Linked DNA regions of Diceros bicornis minor. The main gene of each other region encodes a partner of the protein of the gene in region 2 in a complex. Links are inferred from orthologs where the notes say so. Each region holds a gene or a part of one and is shown on either strand. Other genes may lie near its edges.

Evidence for each region.
Region 1: ING5 (region 2) and KAT6A share a complex: the UniProt entries of both Homo sapiens proteins name them as parts of the MOZ/MORF complex. The link is inferred for Diceros bicornis minor from reciprocal best matches to the Homo sapiens genes ING5 and KAT6A.
Region 3: ING5 (region 2) and KAT7 share a complex: the UniProt entries of both Homo sapiens proteins name them as parts of the HBO1 complex. The link is inferred for Diceros bicornis minor from reciprocal best matches to the Homo sapiens genes ING5 and KAT7.

What each region holds. Positions count from the first base shown.
Region 1 is NC_080768.1:39,182,223-39,190,444, forward strand, and holds the start of KAT6A (histone acetyltransferase KAT6A), read right to left. Parts: upstream 3,143-8,222; 5' UTR 3,047-3,142; intron 964-3,046; exon of another isoform or gene 762-963; intron 516-761; 5' UTR 199-515; coding exon 1-198. UniProt on the Homo sapiens protein: Histone acetyltransferase that acetylates lysine residues in histone H3 and histone H4 (in vitro). Component of the MOZ/MORF complex which has a histone H3 acetyltransferase activity. May act as a transcriptional coactivator for RUNX1 and RUNX2.
Region 2 is NC_080776.1:28,457,105-28,464,539, reverse strand, and holds the start of ING5 (inhibitor of growth protein 5), read right to left. Parts: upstream 3,221-7,435; 5' UTR 3,211-3,220; coding exon 3,174-3,210; intron 515-3,173; coding exon 443-514; intron 1-442. UniProt on the Homo sapiens protein: Component of the HBO1 complex, which specifically mediates acetylation of histone H3 at 'Lys-14' (H3K14ac) and, to a lower extent, acetylation of histone H4. Component of the MOZ/MORF complex which has a histone H3 acetyltransferase activity.
Region 3 is NC_080757.1:36,435,210-36,442,738, forward strand, and holds the start of KAT7 (histone acetyltransferase KAT7), read right to left. Parts: upstream 3,333-7,529; 5' UTR 3,163-3,332; coding exon 3,148-3,162; intron 622-3,147; coding exon 474-621; intron 1-473. UniProt on the Homo sapiens protein: Catalytic subunit of histone acetyltransferase HBO1 complexes, which specifically mediate acetylation of histone H3 at 'Lys-14' (H3K14ac), thereby regulating various processes, such as gene transcription, protein ubiquitination, immune regulation, stem cell pluripotent and self-renewal maintenance and embryonic development.

The DNA.
Region 1 (8,222 bases), on a different chromosome or scaffold from region 2:
TTTGTTTGAGACTTTTAAAATTGTTCCATCTTTAACACTCAACTCCAATTGTTCTAAAACAGTTTTGCGATCCAAGCCATGGGAAGAAGACACTGCATTACATATCCTTTCCTCTGAAGGACGCTGTTTCTGCTTCTTCACTTTTTTGATGGCCTCCAAAATCCACTCCGTATACAGCGGGTTAGCGAGTTTTACCATGGTGAAGGATTCTGTATATCCATAGAGTCGTTATCCCTTATCCTGATGCTGAGTAAGTTTTACACCATGGAAAACAACATTCTCGGAGGCTGGGAACCAGTTAACCATAGCATACAAGTTTTCTGGCCTGAGTCCTTCCTTCTTTCACAAAATAGAGTGCCTCCCCACTTTTACTTTAGAAACCAAAACAACCTGTTATTTGAAATATCTTCAAACTTCCCAATAAATTTCTCAATAGCACCACACATGGGTCTCTTCATAAAGTTGTAAAAACTCAAGAACATCTCATTCCCAGCAGAAAAATGTGTATCTTATGCCTGAAAAACAATTAAAACAAGATCAGTTTTCTATCAAGGCCCATTTTGTAAATAAGCATTAACTGAAACATCCTAATCTTTTAAAGCAATCAAATACCAAGTGTTTACTGAGCACCTGTAGGAGTTTTAACACGTTTCTATCAACATTCCAAAACAATCATGTATGTAAACCACTGGAATAAAAAAGAAAAGAAAAAAAAAAAGATGAATAATTAGGATACAATGAGGAAACAAGATGAGACATACCATGAATGACCTTAGGCTACAACTAACCAGAGGGGTGCTGCTATTCTGTACTCCACAATCTCTGCTCACCAGTCTATGAATTGAAACTCTTCCTTGACATCTTTCCCCAAGAAACTATTCAGCACTTCAACAAATATCTGGATTAGCAGAAAGAATCCTGCAATGAAAGTAAGAGTGAATCTTTCATCTTCCAAAATTCCAGACATTGAGACTGGATAAAAACAGTCAACAAGATAGCAGAAAACCACTGAGAAAATTTTAACTATTTCATATATTAACAGAAACAACAAAGACAATTACACAGACCAAGTTCATATTTTAAGAATTTATTACTTTAAACATTCCAAATGGAAAGAAAAATAATATTGGAAATAGTCAAGTGTGAAAAGTGCTTAAAGAATTTTAAAATAATCCAATTTCCGTCAAATTTTAACAATTAAATGCTGATAGCTTTTCCTAAACCAAACTAAAATACCATTGACCAATAGACTGGAGGGAGTAACAACTGTCACAGTGTTCACAACCAATCTACAGAGAGAGAAACAAGAAATGAGAAAGGCCCAGAATCACTGCGTTCAAGTGCACACACTACATATCAAGTGTACAGTACAGAAAAAAAAAATGTATTGCCTGTTTACAGGTCTAAAGAGGAGACTATCTCATAAAAATTCAAGATTGCTGTCCTGAAATTAACATTAATGAATACGACAAAAACATAAATATATTGCCCCTCCAGGATCAAAGTCAATATCCTTCTTTAAGACAAAACCTGGCAGATACCAATCTTTTTAAAAATCACCAAAATAATAAATCCTGAATCTAAATAACTCCTGTGCCTCCAAATATAAATTTAACGAGTGTTTTTTAGAAGGTCTGCTCTTATTCTAAAGCATGTACATTACAACATAAACAGTGCTAGAAAAATGGCTCCCGCAGCAATTATTCTTAAGAGTGACATTAAAAACCAAAAAGAAAACTAACAGATACCAGGAAAGCGGTAGTATTAACTCTGATAGGAAAGAAAAGGCTGCAGTAAACACTCAAACCTGAGCCAAGATTTATTTTTAAATTAGCAGACTAAAAAGAAGCCCCCTGAGAGATCTATGCCTCATTTTGGTGAGAGCCTGGAGAGGACAGAAATCATCGTATTATTACTCCAAGAAAGTTTATTATGTAGAAATTAACGCTAAACTAAATTAAGCTACAACCCGAGTGTAAGAAGCTGGGAACGTCCTAACTGAGAAAGCTCGCAGGTAAAAGAATGAATGACAGTGGCTCATTGTCTCTCTGGCCCGGGCTGTCACCAGTCTCCAGGTCCTCAGAAAGTGAAGCGCCTGCAGACTTGAACTCTGCAAGTACCCCCGCGGCCTCAGAGAAAGCACTGCTTGCTTCCGACAGTCCTGCCCCGGTTTCCATTCCCCAGCCCCAAACACATCTTCGCGCTCTCTTTGTAAAGTGCGAGAAACTTTAAAAACTTGAAACGGCACAGCCCTGCGCTCGCCAACCGGGTGCTTCGCGGTTCCCATCAGACAGCACAGAGCCCGAGCACTAAGTTAACAATGAAATCACGTGCAAGAGTTCGGAGCCATGCATCTCCCACTCGCAGCTCCCCAAGCCCACGCTCCACCGAGGCCAGTCCAAAGGCGGCGTTCCGGGCGCCGGCGGCCGCGAGCCTGACAGGTCGGGCGGCCGCGTCCACTCGCCGACACTGACAGGCGGCCGCCGCCTCCCCTCCCGGCGCCGGGCTGTCAGCCCGACAGACACAACACCACACGTGCTGCCTCCTCCACACCACAACACCGCCAGCCTGTCACCCCCGCGGCCCCCGCGCGCGCCACAGCCGGAGAGCGAGCGCCCGAGCGCGGGCAGACGGGCCGGCCCGGGGCGGCGGGCGCAGGTGGGGCCGCGCGGTGGGCGCGCCCCGAGGGACAGCGGGCGCCGGCACAGCCCAGCCCGAGGCTCCGCGGCCTGGGCCGCGCGCCCAGCCGCCGGCTCCCCCAGGCTGGGCCCGGCCCGAGCGGCGGGGGCGCCGGGCCCGCGAGCGCCGGGCGGGCGGGCGGAGGCGCAGGGCCGCGGGGCGGGGGAGCCGGGCGCCGGCCGGGCGCGAGGGGGCGGCCGCGGCGCCCCAGCCCGAGGCCTGGCGCAGAGCAGCGGGAGGCGGCGCAGGCCGCGGCGGGGCCTGCAGCGGCCCGTCGACCCCGCGAGGCGGCGGAGCGGGCCCCGGGGCGGCTCAGCCTCGGGCTCGGCGGCCGAGGGCGGCCGGGGGTGGCCCCTCGGCTACTTACCGGAGGGAAAGAGAGCCGGGATCCCGGGGCCCCGGGCCGGACCGCGGAGATGCCCCAAACTGACACGGCCGCCATCTTGGAGACAGTGAGCTCCGGCCGGGGGGAGGGGAGGCGAGGCGGCGGAAGAGCCGCGGGGGGAGGGGAAGTGTCGCGAGGGAACGGCGGCCTGGGGGAGGGAGCGGGAACAGCCGGGAGGTAGGCGAGGGGGAGGCGGGAGGGGCAGTGCGAGAGGGGGGCGGCCGAGGAGCGGGAAGAGCTGGGCCGAGAGCCGGGAAAGGCCGGAGGGCGGGGGGGGGCAGGAGGGAAGAGCCAGCCGGGCGGGTCACGTGGGGCCGGTACAAAAGGCCAAAGCCAGAGTGGGAGGAGGACCTGGCGGGGCTGGAGGCCACCAGCTGGGGGCTCTTTCTCGCCTTTCTCACGCGGTTAGGTCAGGCGGGTACCCGGGAAAGAAGGAGACGGTGTGTCCCCATTACACAGCTGGGGACACTGAGGGCAGGCGCATGGGTGGGGTGGCTTCAGTGTGGCACGGAAATCCGGTAGCAGATGGGAGCTGAACTCTTGATGGCGTCTGTTTACAGTGAGCAGATCCTCCCTCCCCGCTTCTGTGCGCTCACCCCACTTCTACGGCGACTCTCCCGGAACCTGAGGCCGGGAGCTGTGGGCGAAGGGCCGGGAGGAAGTTGCCTCCCTTTATCATTCCCTTTCGGCTCGCACCATCACCCCGCACATCTCACCCTTTTTGTAAGCAAGAGTAGGTGTGATGAGGAGGGGGAAAGGGTAGAAACTTAGACACTCGTGTCAAGTCCTTTCTCCACAGTGACGTCATCCTCCCCACAACTGAGAGACTTGTTGGACCTTACCAGAGCCATGTTTATAGGAAACAGCACAGACTTGCACAAGGTCACACAGCTGTTTCGTGGCACACATCTGAGTTTAGAGCCTAGATCTGTCTTATTCCAAGGCCTGTCTTCTACTCATGCCCTATGCAGAATTGTCCTTAGCTGAATTTGTGCCTGAACCACGCACCAGCACTTTTTCATGACCTGTCTGTCCTCTACTGACTGCGTGTATGTTTCTTTGTCTTGTCTCTCATCTCATTAAACTCCTTGAGGCAGAGACTGAGTGATACTTTTTTTTTCTTGCATTCTCGGGAAAGGCAGTAAATGACAAATGAAAAGACATATCAAATACTTAACAATTTTGTGTGGAAGGTTTTCCTGCTACTGGACCTTTATCTGCTTTGTGCCCCCTGCGTAGACTGTCCTCCAGAACACCTTCTCAGTTTATCTCAGCTTTACCTTTCAGAAACCACCGTCTCTCCCATTGCCTTAACTTCAATGTTTACTTCCTTTTCTGAACTTTTGCAGTATTGACTATTTGCCCTGTTCATTTGGCACTTGGTGTGTAGCTCTTACATACATTTTATAAATGTATTCCCAGATGTATGCTCTTCTAGGGTGTCTCTTTGCGTCTCCAGTGGCATAGTGTTGTACAAGTAGTACAGACTCAAAAAAACGTGTCTAGTGAATGAATATTTTTAAGCCACTAAGAAACAGGTGGAATTTCCACCCCCAGCTCAAGCACTGCCTTGTTTACATCTTAACCTATACTTTCCTATCTCTACACCTTTTCTCCACTCTAATCCTTAGCTTTATTGTTCTATAATATAGACTGTCCAGACCATTCAATAACATAAAAACATATTTTCAGATGATGGTCTAGCCAACTCAATATCCTACCACTGACACTGATAACATAAGTGTGGTGTGGTGAGATTTACTGAATCACCCTTAATCACCTATTTCCAAGACCTGTCCCCAAATTAAGAGGGAAATTTGGGGATACAAGATAACTATTAGAAGGGATATTTTCCATCCTGCATAAATCAGACAGATGCATTCTCAGGTAAAATGGGAGCTATTTGTAATGGAAATACATCCAGAAAAAAAGGAGGGAGATTCTTTTAGAAAAATAAACAAGGGTTTTTTTTTTCCCCCTAAAGAGGACAGATAAAGTCATATTAATAGAAAGAAAATGAGTTCTTTGTGTGAGACTAGTGTGTGGTCTTCAGAAGAAGAATACAGAGATGAGTTGTGTTTGCTTTTGGATAATTTGGAAGAAAATTAGCTTCAGCCATTCCTGTGAAAAGACCAAAATGGGATCTAAACACACAGTAGCAAGAATTTAAAAGAATCTGCAACAACAAAGCACAGTTTAGCTTTTCAAACAGCTTCCATAGAGAGTGTTTGCCTTACATTTGCATAACTTAATGACACATTCAGGAGGTCTTCTCAAAATAAAAGGTTTGCAACAAAACCAGATTCAAGTCCTCATCTTTTGCATGTTAAAAAACAATCTGTAGCACTAAAAAGACAGTTTTTCTTGGTTCAAACTTTGCTCAAAGTTTGTCCCTGCAGGGCTGGCAGCTAAAAGTTATTTCCTCCTTCCACCTTTAGCTCTAGGAATCCCCGTCTTTTCAGTTGTACTTGGTAACTACATTTCATGCAGAGTCTAGCTAAGCCTAAAATTGGAAAGCTGCTCTATCCTTGTTTCAACAGGAAAAGTTTTTAGTCCATTTACATTTAATATGATTACTGCTGCATTTGAATTTATACCTACCATCTTACTATTTATTTCCTTTTGCCCACTTATTACCCCTTCCCCTTTTGTGTTTATTGCTGTCATGGATTTTAACTGTGCATGTATTTTAAGCCACACAAGATTTTATAATCATTGTTCTGTACAGTCGGTACTCATTATATCACCCTTTATGTTGCTTCTTGTTTGAATATGCATTTATGTGCTTCCAACTCAATTTTTTTCCTTCTGTTTGAATAATTCCTCTTTTCAGAGCAAGAGATCTGCTGGTGGCAAGTTCTCTCTATTTTTATTTGCCTAAAAACTTTATTTTATCCTTCATATTTTTGCTGGTTATAGCATTCTAGTTTGGCAAGTTTTTTCCAGCACTTTAAAGATGTCCTTCCATTGTCTTCTGGTTTCCATCGTTCCTTTGTTACTCCTTTGAAAAGTAATCTCTTTTTTCCTCTGGTTCCTTTTAGTATTTTTTTCTTTAGTTTTCAACAGTTTTCCTGTGATGCGTGTAGATGTGATTTTCTTTATATTTATCCCACCTGGGTTCGTGAGTAAGCTGAGTACCACTCATGGAGTCCCTTTTATTTGTAGCTTGATATCTTTTAGCTGTGTTGGAAAATTCTTGGCCGCTATCTCTTCTTATCTTTCTTTTCCTTTCAGAATTTCAATTGTACATATGCCAGAATTTTTCATTGGTTACCATCTGTATTTCCTATCATCTTTTTTGCCTCTTTCTTTGTGCATGAGTCTGTATATTTTCTATCTAGCTATGTAAGCTAAGTTCTTAAAACTATATATTGAGTTCTTAATATTGGTCATTGTATTTTTAACTGCTAGAATTTTCATATGGTTTTTTAAATAATAAAAGCCAGGGGCCAGCCCAGTGGCATGGTGGTGAAGTTTGTGCACTCTGCTTCAGCATCCCAGGGTTCACAGGTTCAGATCCTGGGTGCGGACCTATGCACTGCTTATCAAGCCATGCTGTGGCAGGCATCCCACGTATAAAGTAGAGGAAGATGGGCACCGATGTTAGCCCAGGCCAATCTTCCTCGGCAAAAAGAGGAGGATTGGCATCAGATGTTAGCTCAAGGCTGATCTTCCTCACACACACAAAAAAAAAATAATTGCACATTCATATTTGTAGCAGCGATATTCACAATAGCCAAGGAGTGGAAGCAAACCAAATGTCCATTGACAGATAAATGGATAAACAAAATGTGGTATATACATACAATGGAATATTATTCACCCTTAAAAATGAAGGAAATTCTGACACATGATACAACATGGATGAACCTTGAGAACATTTTGCTAAGTGAAATAAGCCAGTCATGAAAAAACCAAAAACTGTATGATACCACTTGTATGAAGTACCTCGAGTAGTCAAATTCATAGAGACAGAAAGTAGAATGGTGGTTGCCAGGGGCTGAGGGGAGGAGGAAATGGGAGTTATTGTTTAACGAGTACAGAGTTTCAGTCTTGCTAGATGAAAAGATTTTGAAGATGGATAGTGATGGTGGTTGCACAACAATGTCAATGTACTTAACATCACTAAACTATACATTTAAAAATGGTTAAGATGGTAAATTTTATGTGTATTTCACCACAATTTTAAAAAATAAAGCGTATTTCTATATACCATCAACAAACAATTGCAAGTGAAAATATAAAAAACAATACATTTTACAATAGCTTCAAAAATATGAAATATTTAGGGGTAAATCTGACAAACATGTGCAAGATATGTTCATCGATTACTACAAAATATTGCTGAGAGAAATTAAAGACGACCTAAGAAAGTGGGAAGCTATACCTTGTTCTTAGGTTGGAAATCTCAATATTGTTAAGATGTCAATTATTCCCAAATTGATTCATAGATTCAATGCAATCACGATTGTAATCCCAGCAGGATTCGTTTGTAGAAACTGACAAGCAGGTTCTGAAATTCTTATGGAAATACAAGAGATACAGAATTGTCATCAACTTTGAAAAAGAACAAAGTTGGAGGTGTTATACTGCTTGACTTGAAAACTTTCTGAGTTTTTTCATGCACAGCATATGAGTTAATAGCACTTCATGCCTATCATATTATCACATAGGATTGTTGTGAGAATTTTAAAAGTTACTATAGTTATGGCGCTAAAATAGTCTACATTATACAGAAAGCACACTATAATCTTAACTCTTATTAGTGTTATTATTGTAGTATTTTAATTTGCGTTTCCCTGATTACTAGTGAGATTGACCTTTTTTTCCATGTTTATTGCCATTTGAGTTTTCTGTGAAGTCTTGTTCTAGTCTTTTGCCTATTTTTCTATTGCATTTCTCATATCTTTGTTAGTTCTTTATATATTCCAAGTTCTGATACATGTCAGTTATATATGTTGCATATTATTTCCCCTATTTTTTAGCTTGTCATTTCACTTTTCTTAATGGTATCTTTTGGTGAACAGAAGCTCCTATTATTAATTTACATAAATGTATCAATCCTTTCTTTTATCATTTGAGTAGTGGTAGTTGGTATGCTTGTCTTGCTTCTAATCTTACAAAAGGACTGCTTTCAAATTGAGGGTGATATTTGCTG
Region 2 (7,435 bases):
TTCAAATTCTAATCCACTACACCAGGAGACGGGGGAGAGAGATGGGTATGCAGGAGCTGGGTGGGGTGCAAGTGGAGAAGGAACTCTTCATTTTCCATAACAACTATGTAGATAAAGTCTAAAACTAAAGAAAAATAAAATAAGAAATAGCAGCAAAAACATACATTTAGAAATAGGGAGTTAAACTTCAAGAGATCAGAAAGCGCTATCTATTTAAATTATGCACACGTAGTTTGGAAATAGAAAATCTTTTAAAGGAAAGAAAAGGTAATGAACATTTTGACTGCAAAGAGGGGATGATGCTTATAAAGATGTGACGTGAAGATGTGTAATAATCCAAGGAACTAAGTTTGATCTTAAAGTATCAACTCTCTCTCTAAGGCACCACCCAATGCCTAAAGCCTAGGCTAAGGCCCCACTGCACCAGCTCCCCTGAACCCACCTTCTGTCCTCTGGTCCAGCTCTCGCATCAGCTGGAAGTTCCTCTGAAGTTCACAGGGAAGGTTCTCGATACCTGAAACACGGAGACATGTACTTCTCAGTAGTAGGACAAAATCTGCCTCCCAGGCTTTTTACCTAAAGTCTACAAATAAGAAGCCTGCTTTGTCTTCTGTTTCTGTTAGAGTTTGGAGAAGAGAACGACTAATGTATCTTTTCTCAGGGACAGGTACCAAACACTGAGAAGAGGGTGACACACTTCAGAAGTGGTCAGAAGCTCAAGAAGTTAGAGGCAGGGGCCAGCCCTATGGCGTAACGGTTAAGTCTGCACGCTCTGCTGCTGGCGGCCCGGGTTCGGATCCCGGGAGTGCACCAATGCACTGCTTATCAGGCCATGCTGTGGCGGCGTCCCATATAAAGTGGAGGAAGATGGGCACAGACGTTAGCCCAGAGCCAGTTTCCTCAGCAAAAAGAGGAGGATTGGCACAGATGTTAGCTCACGGCTGACCTTCCTCACATAAAAAAAAAAAAAAAAAGTTAGAGGCAAACTTAGAAAGGAGCTGTGAGCAGAGGCAGAGGTAGGGAAGATGGCCCGGGTGACTCCTCCACCCCAGACCCCAAGGCATCCCCCTCTGCAGATACCCCGCCACACTGAGCAAGTTCAAACCCTGGGGTCCTCCTTGATCTGCCCTCCACTTGACTCTGATATCCAGTGCATCAGGCAGTGCAGACCAGCGCGGTCTGGCAGAACTTTATGCAAGGATGGAAATGCTCTCTCTCTGAGCTGCCTGATAGAGCGGGCACTGGCTACATGAGGCTACTAAGCACCAAAACAGGGCTAGGACGACTGAGGGACTAAACTTTCAATTTTACTCAAGTTTAACTAATATGCAGTTGAAGAGACTATGCCTGACAGCACAGGTCAACCCCATGCTGCTTTCCTGTCTGCGCTGCCATCCTTCTAGTCCAGGCCAACCTCTCCACCCGCCTGCACTGCCGTGACAAGCCATGCCCCCGACTGGGCTCCAGCGTCCAGTCCTGGCCCCCCTCCACTCTCCCCAGCTGCCAGTGATCATTTTAAGAGCTAATCTAACCTTACAAAGCTGCCGCTTAAAGCCCCAGTGCTTCCCAGATCACCCAGACAGTGGCACAAACTCCCTCCAAAGCCTCCAGGCTCCCCAGGCCCTCCCTGCTCTGTCCCACCCAGGGCTCTGCAGGACAGTGCCATCCCCGCGCTCTCACGACCTGCTGGTCTTCACGGCCCTTAACTTTCTGCAAACTTTTAAAAACTCCATCTGCCCCATCTGATAGTAAGTTCCAGGAAAATGGGGATCGTGTTTGCTTTCCTGGCACACAGCAGGTGCTCAAGGAGGGAGCAGGTGCCTCCATTCCCGAGCCTTCATACAGGTGGTCCGACCACAACAAAACTCACGTTCCTCAAACCCTCCTTATGGAGTGCACCAGGCAGGTATTGGGACAGAGAAGGGCAAGCCACAATGCTCCCCAGCAGACACGTGGGTGCAGGCCTCTCTGGTGACAACGGTGTGGAAGAGCCTCTCCTCCACCGAGAGCAGAACAAATGGCCAGGACTGGACAACCCCTTTGGGGAGGGCTGGATTCCCCACTGTCTCCAGCAGAGCGGGGCTCATGCCCTGGTCTCGGCAGCCTCAGGCGGGGGTCCCAGGCAGCCAGGCCTGAGTGGCTGTGAATACACCCAGTGCAGCACAGCGCTCCAGAGCCACCCAACCCAACCCCCACCCAAGGGCACCCCCAGCGGGAGAGACCCGCAGGGTTCAAACGCAGGCTCCCCACTCCAGGGCCTGCGGGCTGCATTTTCCTCTCTGTAGAAATTCCGGAAAGAACCATCTGCTCAGGAGTTATCAGGAGGGTCCAACCTGTGCTCCCTGTAGACAAAGACGGAAGGACGCCTGCACCGAGAGCTTCAAGGACGTGGGCCCTGAACCTTAACCAGCCTTGTAGGTACCCAGAGAGACAGGCACCCTGGGAGACCCTCCGCCAGCACCGCCTCCCCATCTTGCAGACACACAAACTGAAGCTCGCTCTAAGGAAGCCACTCCCAGGTCACAGTACGAGCAGGCACAGAACTCTGGAGAGCCAGAGCCGGACCCAGAGTCCATGGGGGTTGGGACTAGACCACCGCGCGGGCCAGTTGGGTGGGGGCGGAGCCTAGCCGGAGAGGGCGGGACCTAGCGAGGGAGGGCAGAGGCGAGGCCGAGGCCTGGGCCTACGGTGGGGAGGGCGGAGTCGACGAGGAGCGCGGGCCAGCCAGGAGGGGCGGGGCCTAGCCCATGATGGGGCGGGGCCTGACCGGGGCCCTAGCCAATGATGGGGCGGGGGAATGGAGAGGCGGGGCCGGCAGGGAGGGGTGGAGCCCACTCTCGGAGGGGAGGGGCGGGGCTGGCAGGGCTGGGGGCAGGGGCTTACCCGGGGGGCGGGGCCTGGTCACACCGACCCCGCCCCGCCCCGCCGGCCCCGCCCCGCCGTGACGCACCTGGAATTGGCGGGGCCGTGACGACGGGCCCCCGCGCCGCGCCCCCCACGCGCACCACCCTCGCGGCCCCGCCCCGCGCGCGTCCCCGTCGCCCCCGCCGCCGTCAACCGCCCCGCCGCCCCCACGAGCCCCACGGTCCCCGCGCTTGGTCTGGCACGCAGGGGTGTGCGGCGGGGAGGGCCGCGCGCGGGCGGCGGGCCCGGGGCGCGCGGGAGGCGCTTACTGTCCAGGTAGTGCTCCAAGTACATGGCGGTCGCCATCTTCGTCCGCGGCCGCGCTCTGGGTCTGCGCGGGCGGGCGGTGCCGCGAGGGGTGGAGGGCGGTGCCGGCATGCTCACTATTCATGAGTCTCGCGCGCTGATTGGCCGATGGGGGCGGGGACGCCGGCTGGGCACGCCCCCTGGCTTCCGGTCGGCGGGATCCGCGCGGCGCCGCGCGGGAGCTGAGCAGGAGGGGCTCGGCGGGGCAGTGTGAGAGCGAGGTCGGGGCGCCGCAGCCTCGGACGCGCTTCCTCCGCCCGCTCGGCGGGACCCGCGCTGACACGTGGCGCCGGGGGCCGGCCACCCGCTCCCCCCCGGAGGTCCGCGCCTGTGTCCGGGAGTTCTGGGCAGGGTTGGGCTCAGAGCGTGTGCCTGCGAGGTGGACGAACGCGGTCGCGGGACGAGAGGGTCCGCGAGAGCCCTCGGATGCGCGCAGGAGACTGGACGGGCAGCGGAGTCGAGGGTCAGCCGCTGCAGGCCTTCTGTCTTCCCCGGCCAGCGCGGGCCCACGGGGAAGGGGCTCCGCGTGCCTCCGCCCGTACAGGGTGCCGAGGGACCGCTGTTCCCCAGACCAGAGGAGCCCGGGCCCCAGAACCCACCCATCCTTGACTCCGAGATTCAAGGTTGTTGGTCACACCAGCGGCACAGCCTGACGAATGGAGCACTAGTTCCATTATTGAAGATGCGCGTTTCGAGATATTCCCCGCTTCTTGAACTCTTCCCGAAGCCCCAAATATTAAAAAATGGAAACCTATTCATTGTTTTTGCCAATCTTACGTTCATTATAATAATTCAAACTATTCCGGAACTTATAGTTTCCCCACTTCCCGGAATACAGGACTCTCTTGTTCACCTTTGAATCCATGTTAGCAGTTTGGGTGCATCCTTTCTGGCCCCATTGAATGCTTGATGAGAAAAAGCACACAGGCAGTGTACATGATTGCACACTACCCACCTTTTTTATTGTTTTAAGTGGCTAAATTATTTTTTTAATTAATAGACTATTTTTTAGAGCAGTTTTAGGTTTATAGAAAAACAGAAGAAAATGAGAGTTCCTAGATACTCCCTCCACACACACACACACAGTTTACCCTATTATAAATATTTTGCATTGGTGTCATACATTTATTACAATTGATGAAATGATACGTTGTTATTAACTAAAGTCTATAGTTTACATTAGGGTTCACTCTGTGTTACACAGTTCTATAGGTTTTGACAAATGTATAAACACATGTATCCACTCACACAGAATAGCCTCTCTGCCCTAAAAATCCCCTGTGCTCCCCACCTATTCATCCCTTTCCTTGCCCCCCATAGTGTCCCAGCAGACACTATGTTTTTCCCGTCTATGGTTTTGCCTTTTCCAGAATGTCACATAGTTGGAATCATACAGTATATAGCCTTTTCCAATTGGCTTCTTTCACTTAGTAATATGCATTCTAAGTTTCCTCCATGCCTTTTTGTGGGTTGATAGCTCATTTTTTCTTAACGCTGAATAATATTCCATTGTCTGGATGTACCACAGTTTATCCATTCACCTATTGAATTGCTTCCAAGTTTGGGCAATTATGAATAGAGCTACTGTAATAATTTGTGCACAGGTGTTTCACAGTTTTCAGTTCCTTTGGGTAAATACCAAGAAGTGTGATTTGCTGGATCATGCTGTAAGATCACGTTTAGTTTGGTAAGAAACCGCCAAACTGCCTTCCAGAGTCGCTGTACCATTTTGCATTCCCATCAGCGATGAATGATGTTGCTCCACATCCTCATCAGCATTTGGTATCAATCTTCCGGATTTTGGCCATTCTAATAGGTGTGTAGAGGTACCTCATTTTTTTTTAATTTGCATTTCTCTAGTGACGTACAGTGTTGAGCACCTTTTCACGTGCACATTTGCCATCTGTATGTCTTTAGTGAGGTGTCTGTCCAAATCTTTTGCCCATTTTTTAATTGGGCTGTTGATTTTCTTATTGGTGAGTCACACTGTCCACCTTTCTCCTATTTTCATTTCTAACTTGATACTCTTCACCAACATCTAGTCATGCTTTACTCACTTCTATTTCACCCTGTTTACTAGGTATATTTCACTGTGTTCATGTACCATACTTTAACAAACTCCTTATAGATGCACAATCTTTTGATTGTTTCCAATTTTCCATTACCATAAATAATGCTCTGGTGAACATTTGTTCATTTAGCTGTTTGTATGTCTGTTCCGGTTATTTATTGCTGCATAATAAACTTCCTGAAAACTTAGTGGTTTAAAAGAACCATTTTATTATAGCTCACAACTTTTATGAGTCAGGCATTTCAGGAGGGCTCAGATGGGTGATTCTTTTGTTCTATGTAATACAATAGAGATCACTGGGGTGGCTGGAGGCTGGGTTCAACTGGCACCATGGACCAGAGTGCCTACATGTAGCCTCTCCACCATAGGGATCCCAGGTAGTAGTCCTTCTTACATGGCCACTCAGGGCTTCTGGAGAGTTCTGGGAGGCCTCAGTGGAAGCTGCAAGACTCTTGTGACCTCACCTCAGTTGTCCCAAGACATCACCTCACTACATTCTATCGGTCAAACAAGTCGTTGGGGCCCAGATTTGAAGGGTGGGGAATTAGACTCCACTTGTCAATAGGCAGAGTACAAGGACTGTGGCCATCTTTAATTGACCACTTGTCTGGTTTGTTCTTTTGGATAAACTTTTAGAGATGGAATTGCTGGCTCAAAGAGCATCGAATATTCTAAGTGCTGACATTTCTAAATGAATTGCCCAAGGGGAAGGTTATACCAACTGACACCCACCTGAGTATGTTTCCACACTTTTGTCAACCCTAGATTTTGTCAGGGTTTTTACTTTTGCAAACTTGATAGAAAAAAAGAAATAACCAAAAAAAAACCAACCTCAGTGTTTTAATTTGTATTTCTGTGATTTTAAGTGGGGCTAAACATGTTTTTCCATTATTCATTGACTATTTGTAGTTCTTCTATCATTTTCTTTATGTCCTTTACCCATTATCTGTGGGGAAATTGGTCTTCATGCCTTTCACCTAAAAAAAATTCTTGGGGCCGGCCCTGTGGCTTAGCGGTTAAGTATGCGTGCTCCGCTGCTGGCAGCCCGAGTTCGGATCCCGGGTGTGCACCGATGCACCGCTTGTCAGGCCAGGCTGAGGCAGTGTCCCACATAGAGCAACTAGAAGGATGTGCAACTATGACATACAACTATCTACTAGGGCTTTGGGGAAAAAAAAAAAGGAGGAGGATTGGCAATAGATGTTAGCTCTGAGCTGATGTTCCTCAGCAAAAAGAGGAGGATTGGCATGGATGTTAGATCAGGGCTGATCTTCCTCACAAAAATAAAAAATTAAAAAAAAAAGTCTTTATTATTAAGAGGCATGGCCTTCACATATCAGATATTGGAAATAACTTCTTCCAGAGAGCAATGTGTCTTCTTTCATTCACATAAGAAAAGTAATAGATTCTCTTACAGAGACCCTGTTTTAGAACCTACCAAAGTGAGAGGTGAGTCCCTTACTATTTCTTTTTATTGCTATATACTTTAGAGCAGGGTTTCTCAACCTCAGAGCTATTGACATTTTGGGCCAATAACTCTTTGCTGTGGGGCGCTGTCCTGTGCCATGTAGGATGTTTAACAGCATGCCTGGCCTCTCCCCACTAGATGCTGTTAGCACCCCCACACCAAGTTGTGACAATCCAAATGTCCCCCAGTTGAGAACCAGCACTTTAGGGAAAGGCTAAACTACTCTAACAAAGAAACTCAACCAAAATCCAGTGGCTTAGAACAGAGAGAATTGTATTTCTTATGTAACAGTCCCATTGTGAACAGTCCAGGGGGTGGGCAGCCATGCTCCATGGGGTCACTCAGGAACCCAGATTCCCTCTAGCACAGTGTCTGCCCCTAGAGGGCCTCGTCATTGTCCTCCTAGTCAAGGCTGGGTTGCGGGGGGTGGGAGGCAGAGGGAGTGTTCAGTCTGAAGGAGCACACGCCACTTCTGCTCACTTTTCATTGGCGGTAACTTAGTCACCTGGCCACGCCTAACAGAAAGGAGGGCTGAGAAAAGGAGTCCAGCAGGGCAGTGATGTGCCCAGCAGACTCTCTTCTGGAAGCAGATGAGTGCTATGGACTGAATATCCCTGCAAAATTCATAGGTTGAATCCCTAATCCCCAATGTGACTGTATTTGGAGTAGTTAAGAGGAAAAGACAC
Region 3 (7,529 bases), on a different chromosome or scaffold from region 2:
TACTACCAAAGCAAAATTCTGGGTATTTACAACTGATAGTTGGGTAAACTATTTCTATCTATTAATTGTGTATCTGACTACATTACAGAATTAAACATAGTTTTAGAAGTGTTGGGCCTCCTCCAATAACAAGTTCAAGAGACTATTTTAAGTCTCTAAACTTAACCCATTCTAACAGAAACTGAAAAGATAACATTCCCATTTTACTGATAGGAAAAGCGTAATCTAAAAAAAATTAAATGACTCAAGACATAATTGTGTCACACAGACTTGGTTCCTTTGGGTCTACAAATTGGACAGCACCCCCAAAAGAACCATTTTGAAAGACCTGACACTTCTGCAGTCACTCTGCATTTTACCAGATTCTGTCATCTACAACCAGGCAACAGACCAGTTTCCACATTGACTAGCACAGTGATATGATGACCAGGGAGTTGATGTGAGGCACAGTCAAAAAGAAGGAAGGCTTTTACCTTGGGAACTCTGGCTCAGCCGGGCTGAGGAGCGGGTGACTCGGGCAGATCGCCGGGATGTGCCATCGCTCTCTGAACTATCTGTGTGCTCAAGATCTGTAGAAAAATCGGAATCTTCGGTTCCATCTGAACTACTGCCTGCATTCCTCTGTAACACCATAGATCCAGACATTAGCACAGAAGCATTTACTCTGTGGGTTTGTATTAACACTGGAAATAAAACCAACCATGATGCTGAAAACACCAAGTTCAAACCTAAGAAAGGACTCCACAGCCAACTTCCCTTTATTGAGAGCACTTAAATGGAGAAACCTACAAATAATGCCCCTTTATTGAATAAATGAAGAAAGAGAATTAATTCTTACTATATTATCACTAGAAGAAAGAGAATTAATTCTTACTATATTATCACTAACTCTGAAACAAGTCCATTTGAAGGTCAGTACCACAAACTGGAAATAAAATTATCTAACTCAAAATAGTCTGGCTGGCATAACCATGCACTTAGAGAAAGTCCAAGGTAGTGACACAAATGTTAATGCTAGACTCCATTTAACTTTAGGGTAGCTTTTGTTCAAAATCTCCATAAACAGCTATCACATTTTAAAAAACCATACACTAACTCAAAATATCACGGTCCACAATTCTGATCACAAAAGAACTTAAGCAGAAAAAGAGTAAAATTCTTTCTTATGTTATCTACCTTTAAGTTTCTCCATATGAATGCTTTAAAAAAAAAAAAAGGCAGCTTACACATGAAGACTCATAGGTATTCAAAAACAGAGGGTTCTTTTATTATCTTTTTAATTAATAATTATTTGTTAATTATTAGCCTCCTGAGACATATTTAGCCATAAAGATAACTTTTATCAATTGAGCATTAACACTATACTCTTTACTAAACCAGAATAGGAAGAGTATTTGCTAAAAAAACAATACAAAGCTTCAAACTACAAGTCCCCTATTCTTTATCCAAAAACACTTAGGGCCAGTTGTGTTTAGAATTCATAATTTTTTAGATTTTTCAAAGGGAACACTTTGCATATAGCCTTCAAATAACACCCCCTTACTTAACTTATTAACTCAAGCTTATTAACATTTCTGCAGCAAGATATAAAAGCAATCACACTAAATGAGACACACAAAAATTATAAGTAGCCTCAGGACAGTTTAGAACAGGTTTTGCCACCAAATAAATTACTAAAAAAACTTACATCTTCAAGAGCTCTTTGTATTTGGGAATTGCAGAAAGGGGACTATGGACCTATTCCAAGGCACCAATACTATTCCTGCATTTGGTAAGCCTTAATATAAATACCACCTACTGATGCAGTCATTTTAAGAAACATTAAAAAGTGTAAATATTTTTTTTGAAAACCTCTGGGAAGAGAAAGATTTCTGCAAAAATGAGCGAGAATACCACCCAGCTTTCCAAATGGCAAGAGTAATCTGCCCAGAAATGAGTGGAGGCCCCAGAAAAAGTCACAGATAGTTGATAGGATGAAGGAGACGTCTTAAAGGTGGTCTAGTCCAATTACCCAGACATTTGAATCCCTGATCATCTCTGACCATCCCTTCCAGGCCTGACTCTGGAACTCAGCTCTTCTCTCAGGCTTTCACCAATCTACTTCCCATCTTACTCCAGAGCAGACAATTGCTCCCTCACTTCCCTCCCATAACGCTTTGTATATATACTTCCAAATAGAAAATTTACTAGATCCTTCTACAGCCATTTATATGTCTGTTTTCTCCATCAGACTGTGATTTCCTTAAGCCAGGGATCAAATCGAATTAATTTTTGAATCCCCAGCAACCAGCACGTAGCAAGTAGTCAATAAACATTCGTCGAACTGAATTAGATTTGTTCTGTAGTCCTGGCTCTGCCATTGCCTAATTGAGCGGCTTGAGGTAATCCATTAGGCCTCTGTTCAGCTGCAAAGAGAAGGGATGGGGGTGTCCCTAGGTGATCTCGTAAGTCTCATCTAATTCTAGAAAGTTTCTGATTTTACGAACTGCATTTTCTAGGCGCTGTCCAACTAGGCAAATAAGGAAAAATTATGGCTTAAAGGCAACAGGCCAGAGTGGGATCCCCTGGGAGTGGGCGCTGGTTCTCTACCACCCACTCCTCCGCTTTGTTGTACCCCCCGCCCGGAAAGGAAGGATGCTCCGAAACCCCGCCTCTCCACCGATTAGCTTCACCAGCCGGAAGGGCCGGGATTCGCGCCACCAATCGGGGTCCCGCTAAACCGCGCCCCCACGGGACAGATTGCCAAGGGCAGCCAATTAAGAGAGGAGGGATCGTTCTCCACAGCCAATCCGAGCGCGGTAGGGCCGGGCCAGACACTGCCCCCGCACGCGGGGAGGTGACCGTTGGGCCCAAATGGGCGGTGTCATCAGCCAATCAATGTTCTTCCACACGTTGCAGCGACCAATTAACAAGAAGAACGCCTCCGAGCCAGGCAAGCAGAGGGCGGGAATAGTTGCAGGCATAGGCCGAGGCCAGGGTCGGGCCCACATTTTTCCGTTGGGTACCGACAGAAAAGAGGGTTGCTGAGCTAGGTTCCGGGGAGCGGGAAGTTGGAGCCCAGCCAGTGTGAGGCGTGGCTAACTGCGTCACGTTGCTCAATCGACCGTCCTTAGAAACCCGCCATCCCTCCCGTCCTGTTCCTCTCACCTTCCTTCGCGGCATTGCCGGCGGCTGCGGCCCGACGGTTCCGATTCGGGCAGCGGCGGCAGCAGCAGTAGGAACGGTGGCTCCGGCGGGCTCCGTGGCGGCCTCTGTAGCAGTCCCAATCCTGCGGACGATCCCAAGTGCCTCCTGCTTCACAGCGTCTAAACCCTTCCGCGCAGGCGCCGCGGGCTGAGGCGCTTTTTCCTTCACTTCCGGTTGGGGCTCGCGTCACCTGACGTTACTGGCTAGAGAGGGTGCTGGGAGGTTTAGTTCCTTCCATTGAGGCCAGTGAGCGCCATTTTGGAATGGGGCAAAAAGTGGCACCGATAGAAGAAACCCGGGCCAGCCATTTTTAGTTAGGGGAATGGCTCTCTTTGTGGGCGTGGGTAGCCGTTCTTGTTTGGGGCAGAAGCCTGATAGTTGAAGCTAACGGTTCTCATCTTTATCTTGGGCAAAAGTCCCCTTCCCGGTCGTTTTAATTCTGAAGTCGAGAAAGGAAACCCCCAGAATCCATCAGGTTGCTGAGATTTAACCCATTCGTTGCCTAATTGGCTAAAGGACGTCTCCGTTTAGCATATAAACTCAAACTTGGGAAGGGATACTTTGCTCAAGAAACTGTATTTTAAGAGCTGGCCTGTGTCTCAAAGTGGTGGGAATGGGGGCTCGTAAAAGGAACGAAGGGGTAGCGTCCATCATCAGGAAGTTTCTTGCCTGGTAGAGGAGACATTGTCCTTGCCATTAGCGAACAGCGAGTAAGTTAGTCTTTCACGTTGCAGGAGGAGGCAAGATCCTTCTCCAGAAGCGGTATGGGTTTGAGAGCCCTGGGTGGCCCGCGGGGGTGGGGGTGGGTGTTGTACCAGAGTTAGAGAAGCATTGAACTCCGTTTAGCCCAAGTGACCTCGGGAAATCCAGATGCTTGAACTAGGAGTTGGGGGAGGGAAGAAGAGGAAGGAGTATTTTTAGTGAAGCTGGAGCTAAAAAAAAAAAAAAAAAAAAAAAACAGGCATGGATAGGGCCTGCTTTGAGAGGACCTAGGAAGGAGAAGTTGGTCAAGGAAACAAGACTGGAAGAAGAGCCATAAGCAAAAGCTGGGAAGTGGAGAGCAGGCGTTGAGGATTTTGTCTCGCTGCAGGAAAAGCCTTGAGAGGACCAAAGCTTGGCCAAAAGTGACTGGGTGGAATCCAGGCAAGCTCAGTCATTAAGTTAGGATCCAGTCATTAAGTTAGGATCCTGGACCCCAGATTCACCTGAGGCCCGCTAAGATGGAGATTTCCCCCTGGAGCAGAACTAAAGAACAAAGCAGCAGAAGGTAAACATCTGATTGATATGCTAAACAGAGGACTCTGAAGAGTTAAAGTTCCAGACTCATCGCCAGCACTCTCCTTGGGGATATTCTGGGCCGGTGTTAACACAAGCAGCTTTTAGTATTTAGTATTTAGCTTTTAGTGTTTAGTATAAATAGCTTCGAATAACCTACTCAGGTAGAACTGCACATAAGAACTTATTTGACAAGGGCTCACATTTCTTCTTTTGTATTCGTTCAGCACTTAAGCATTTAATTTCACACTATTACTGTTATTTTGCACTTACTGGTGTATTCCTGAGGTCACTCTTGGATGTTCTGGCCCCCTGACTAGTGGGAAGGAGCTCTTGTGTTAAGAGCATACATGAGTTCTTTCATACCATCCTTAATAGTGCTCAGACCATGCCCTAACCACAGTAAATGCTTGCTTGTTAATCAGAATATGTTTACGGGTTCACAGTCTCTGAATGTATAGTACTCAAAGATGGTGAAGTATCCCTCCCTGGAAATTAGTATTTTAGAATAAGATCTTATCCTGACTTAACCATTCATCATACACATACCAGCATTACAAATGTTCAACATTGGTTAATCTCTTACATTGGATTTTCAAACACTGCAGCTAACACTAAAAGAGTTTACAGTTTCTTTTAGACGTGGTTCTTATCCTTGGAAAGTGTACACTCTGGCGGAAAGATGAAAAAACTAACACCAATAGGAAAGAAATATGATCATAAGGAAAATGTGTACTTAAGATGAAAGTAAAACAGCTAGGTATATTTAGAATGGGGAAGGAGGAATCCTAAAAGCTTTTTTCTTTCTTCTTTTTTTTGAGCAAGATTGGCCCTGAGCTAACATCTGTTGCCAGTCTTCCTCCTTTTTTTTTCTCCCCAAAGCCCCACTACGTAGTTGTAGGTCCTTCTAGTTTTTCTATGTGGGATGCTGCCTCAGCATGGTTTAGTTGAGCGGTGAGTAGGTCTGTGCCTGGGATCAGAACCCGCAAACCCCAGGCCGCTGAAGCACAACACATGAATTTAACTGCTATGCCACCGGGCCGGCCCCATTCCTTTCTCTTTTTTGAACCAAACATAACCTTTACTTTGGGTGTCATATTCATCGTAACACAATTAGCTCTGGAAGCAGAAATTGATGTTGGTGTCAAAGCCTTTGACCAGTTGCCCCCCTGCCCATCCTCACCCGCCAGACTTCACATAGGTAGCTCCGCTGTTCTTCCCGCCTTGACGCTTTCACACAGGCTTTTCTTCCTGCCTGGGTGCATCTCCCAACCTTCGTTAAAATTTACTTTCTTCAGAAAATCTTTCCTGATTTATTCTTTCTAAGGTAGTAGGGCATAATGATATGTTATTTTGTACTTCCTGCCGTATTTATACTTTTCCTTGTATAATTTGGTAGATGTTCTGCTCCCCTCTCTCCTTCCCAAATGAATAATAGGAACGTAACTCTTATTTATTTCACTCATCAGCTCTAATAGTGTCAAGTACAGGGCTTTGATGTCAGATCTCGATTTGAATTTCAGCTCTGCCACTTTTTATCTGCATTGCTCTTGGATGTGTTTTTCAATTTATCTGGGCCTCAGTTTTCTCATATGTGAAGTGGAGACACTAATAGCCCCCTCACAGTGTTGTTGTCAGGATTAAAGGCGATGATCATTGTAAAGCGCTTAGCACAGTTCCTGACAGAGTAAATGTTCAGTAAATGGCCGTTGTTATTGATATTTATAATTTCAATCCCCCTGGCCATGGCTATAACATCTTAATGTTTGTGAATATATCTTTACATAGTCTCAATGGTGGTTTGCTTTTGTGTGTTCAACCTCACTTCAGCTCAAGAGACACAGAGTGATTAGCCAGGCCTTATATACCAGGCATCGAGTGACACTAGTATGCACAAAACATCGTGTTTCCCCAGGCCAGTAAGCTTGTTGTTGTAAAACGCTGTAAAGTATTAATGGGAAAACAGAAGGAAGAGCAAGGTTCAGAAGTGATACAGAGGAGGAAGTGGAGTGTTTTGTCTGGAAGGTTTAGGGAAGGATTCATAGAAGAGGTGAAATAAGAGTGGAATTTCATAGGACAAATAAGTTTGCTGGTGGACAAGGAGGATAGGGGCTTTCCACGCAAAGGGAACAGCACATACAGATGTGGAGCGGCATCGTGTATGGGGGGTGACTAATGGCATGGTGGAGTTCGGGTGGTTGCCAAAAGAAGAGACAGGAATGGTTTAGGGAACCAGTTCATGCTGAGACTTGAATACCCTGCTAAGGAGCCTGGGCTGGAGGTGATGAGGAATCTCTGAGGGACTTTAAGCAGAGGAGTCCCATGATCGGACTTGCACTTTAGAGATTTCTTTCTGGAAGCTGTGAGGGGGACTGATCAGAGTGGCAGGGAGATGGGTTAGAACACTGCAGTAATAACCTCACCCAGAGCTGAGGAGGAACTGAACAGGGGAGGGGTAGTGGGAGCAATCTTTTGTGTGTGTCCTTGTGCATTTTCTTTCTTGTATTTGTATCTTGTCTTCTCAGTTACATTTGTAAGCTCACTAAAAGATGCCTCCATTTCCTTTAAAATGCTCCCCTTGCCAGCAAAATGATAGATATTCAAATACAAAGTGTAGTTTTTTGTTGTTTGCTTCAAAGACCTGAGAGCTCCTAGAGGTTGGGAGCCTTGCCTGGCTGACCACACCATCTCCAGCTTCTCCCTTGCTGCCTAGCATCTAAAAGGGCTCAGTAGCGGGGCAGCCTGGTGGCTCAGCAGTTAGTTCGCGTGTTCCACTTTGGCGGCCCGGAGTTCACCAGTTTGGATCCTGGGCGCGGACCTACTCACCGCTCATCAAGCCTTGCTGAGGCGGCATCCCACATAGAAGAACTAGCAGGACCTACAACTAGGATATACAACTATGTACTGGGGCGTTGGGGGATTTAAAAAGAGAGAGAGAGGGGAAGATTTGCAACAGATGTTAGCTCAGGGCTAAGCTTCCTCAAAAAAAAGGGGGGGGGGCTCAGTAAATGGGATGGCCACCGCCAGGTGTTGGCTCAGTTAGGAAAGACGTGCACAGAACCTGCCAT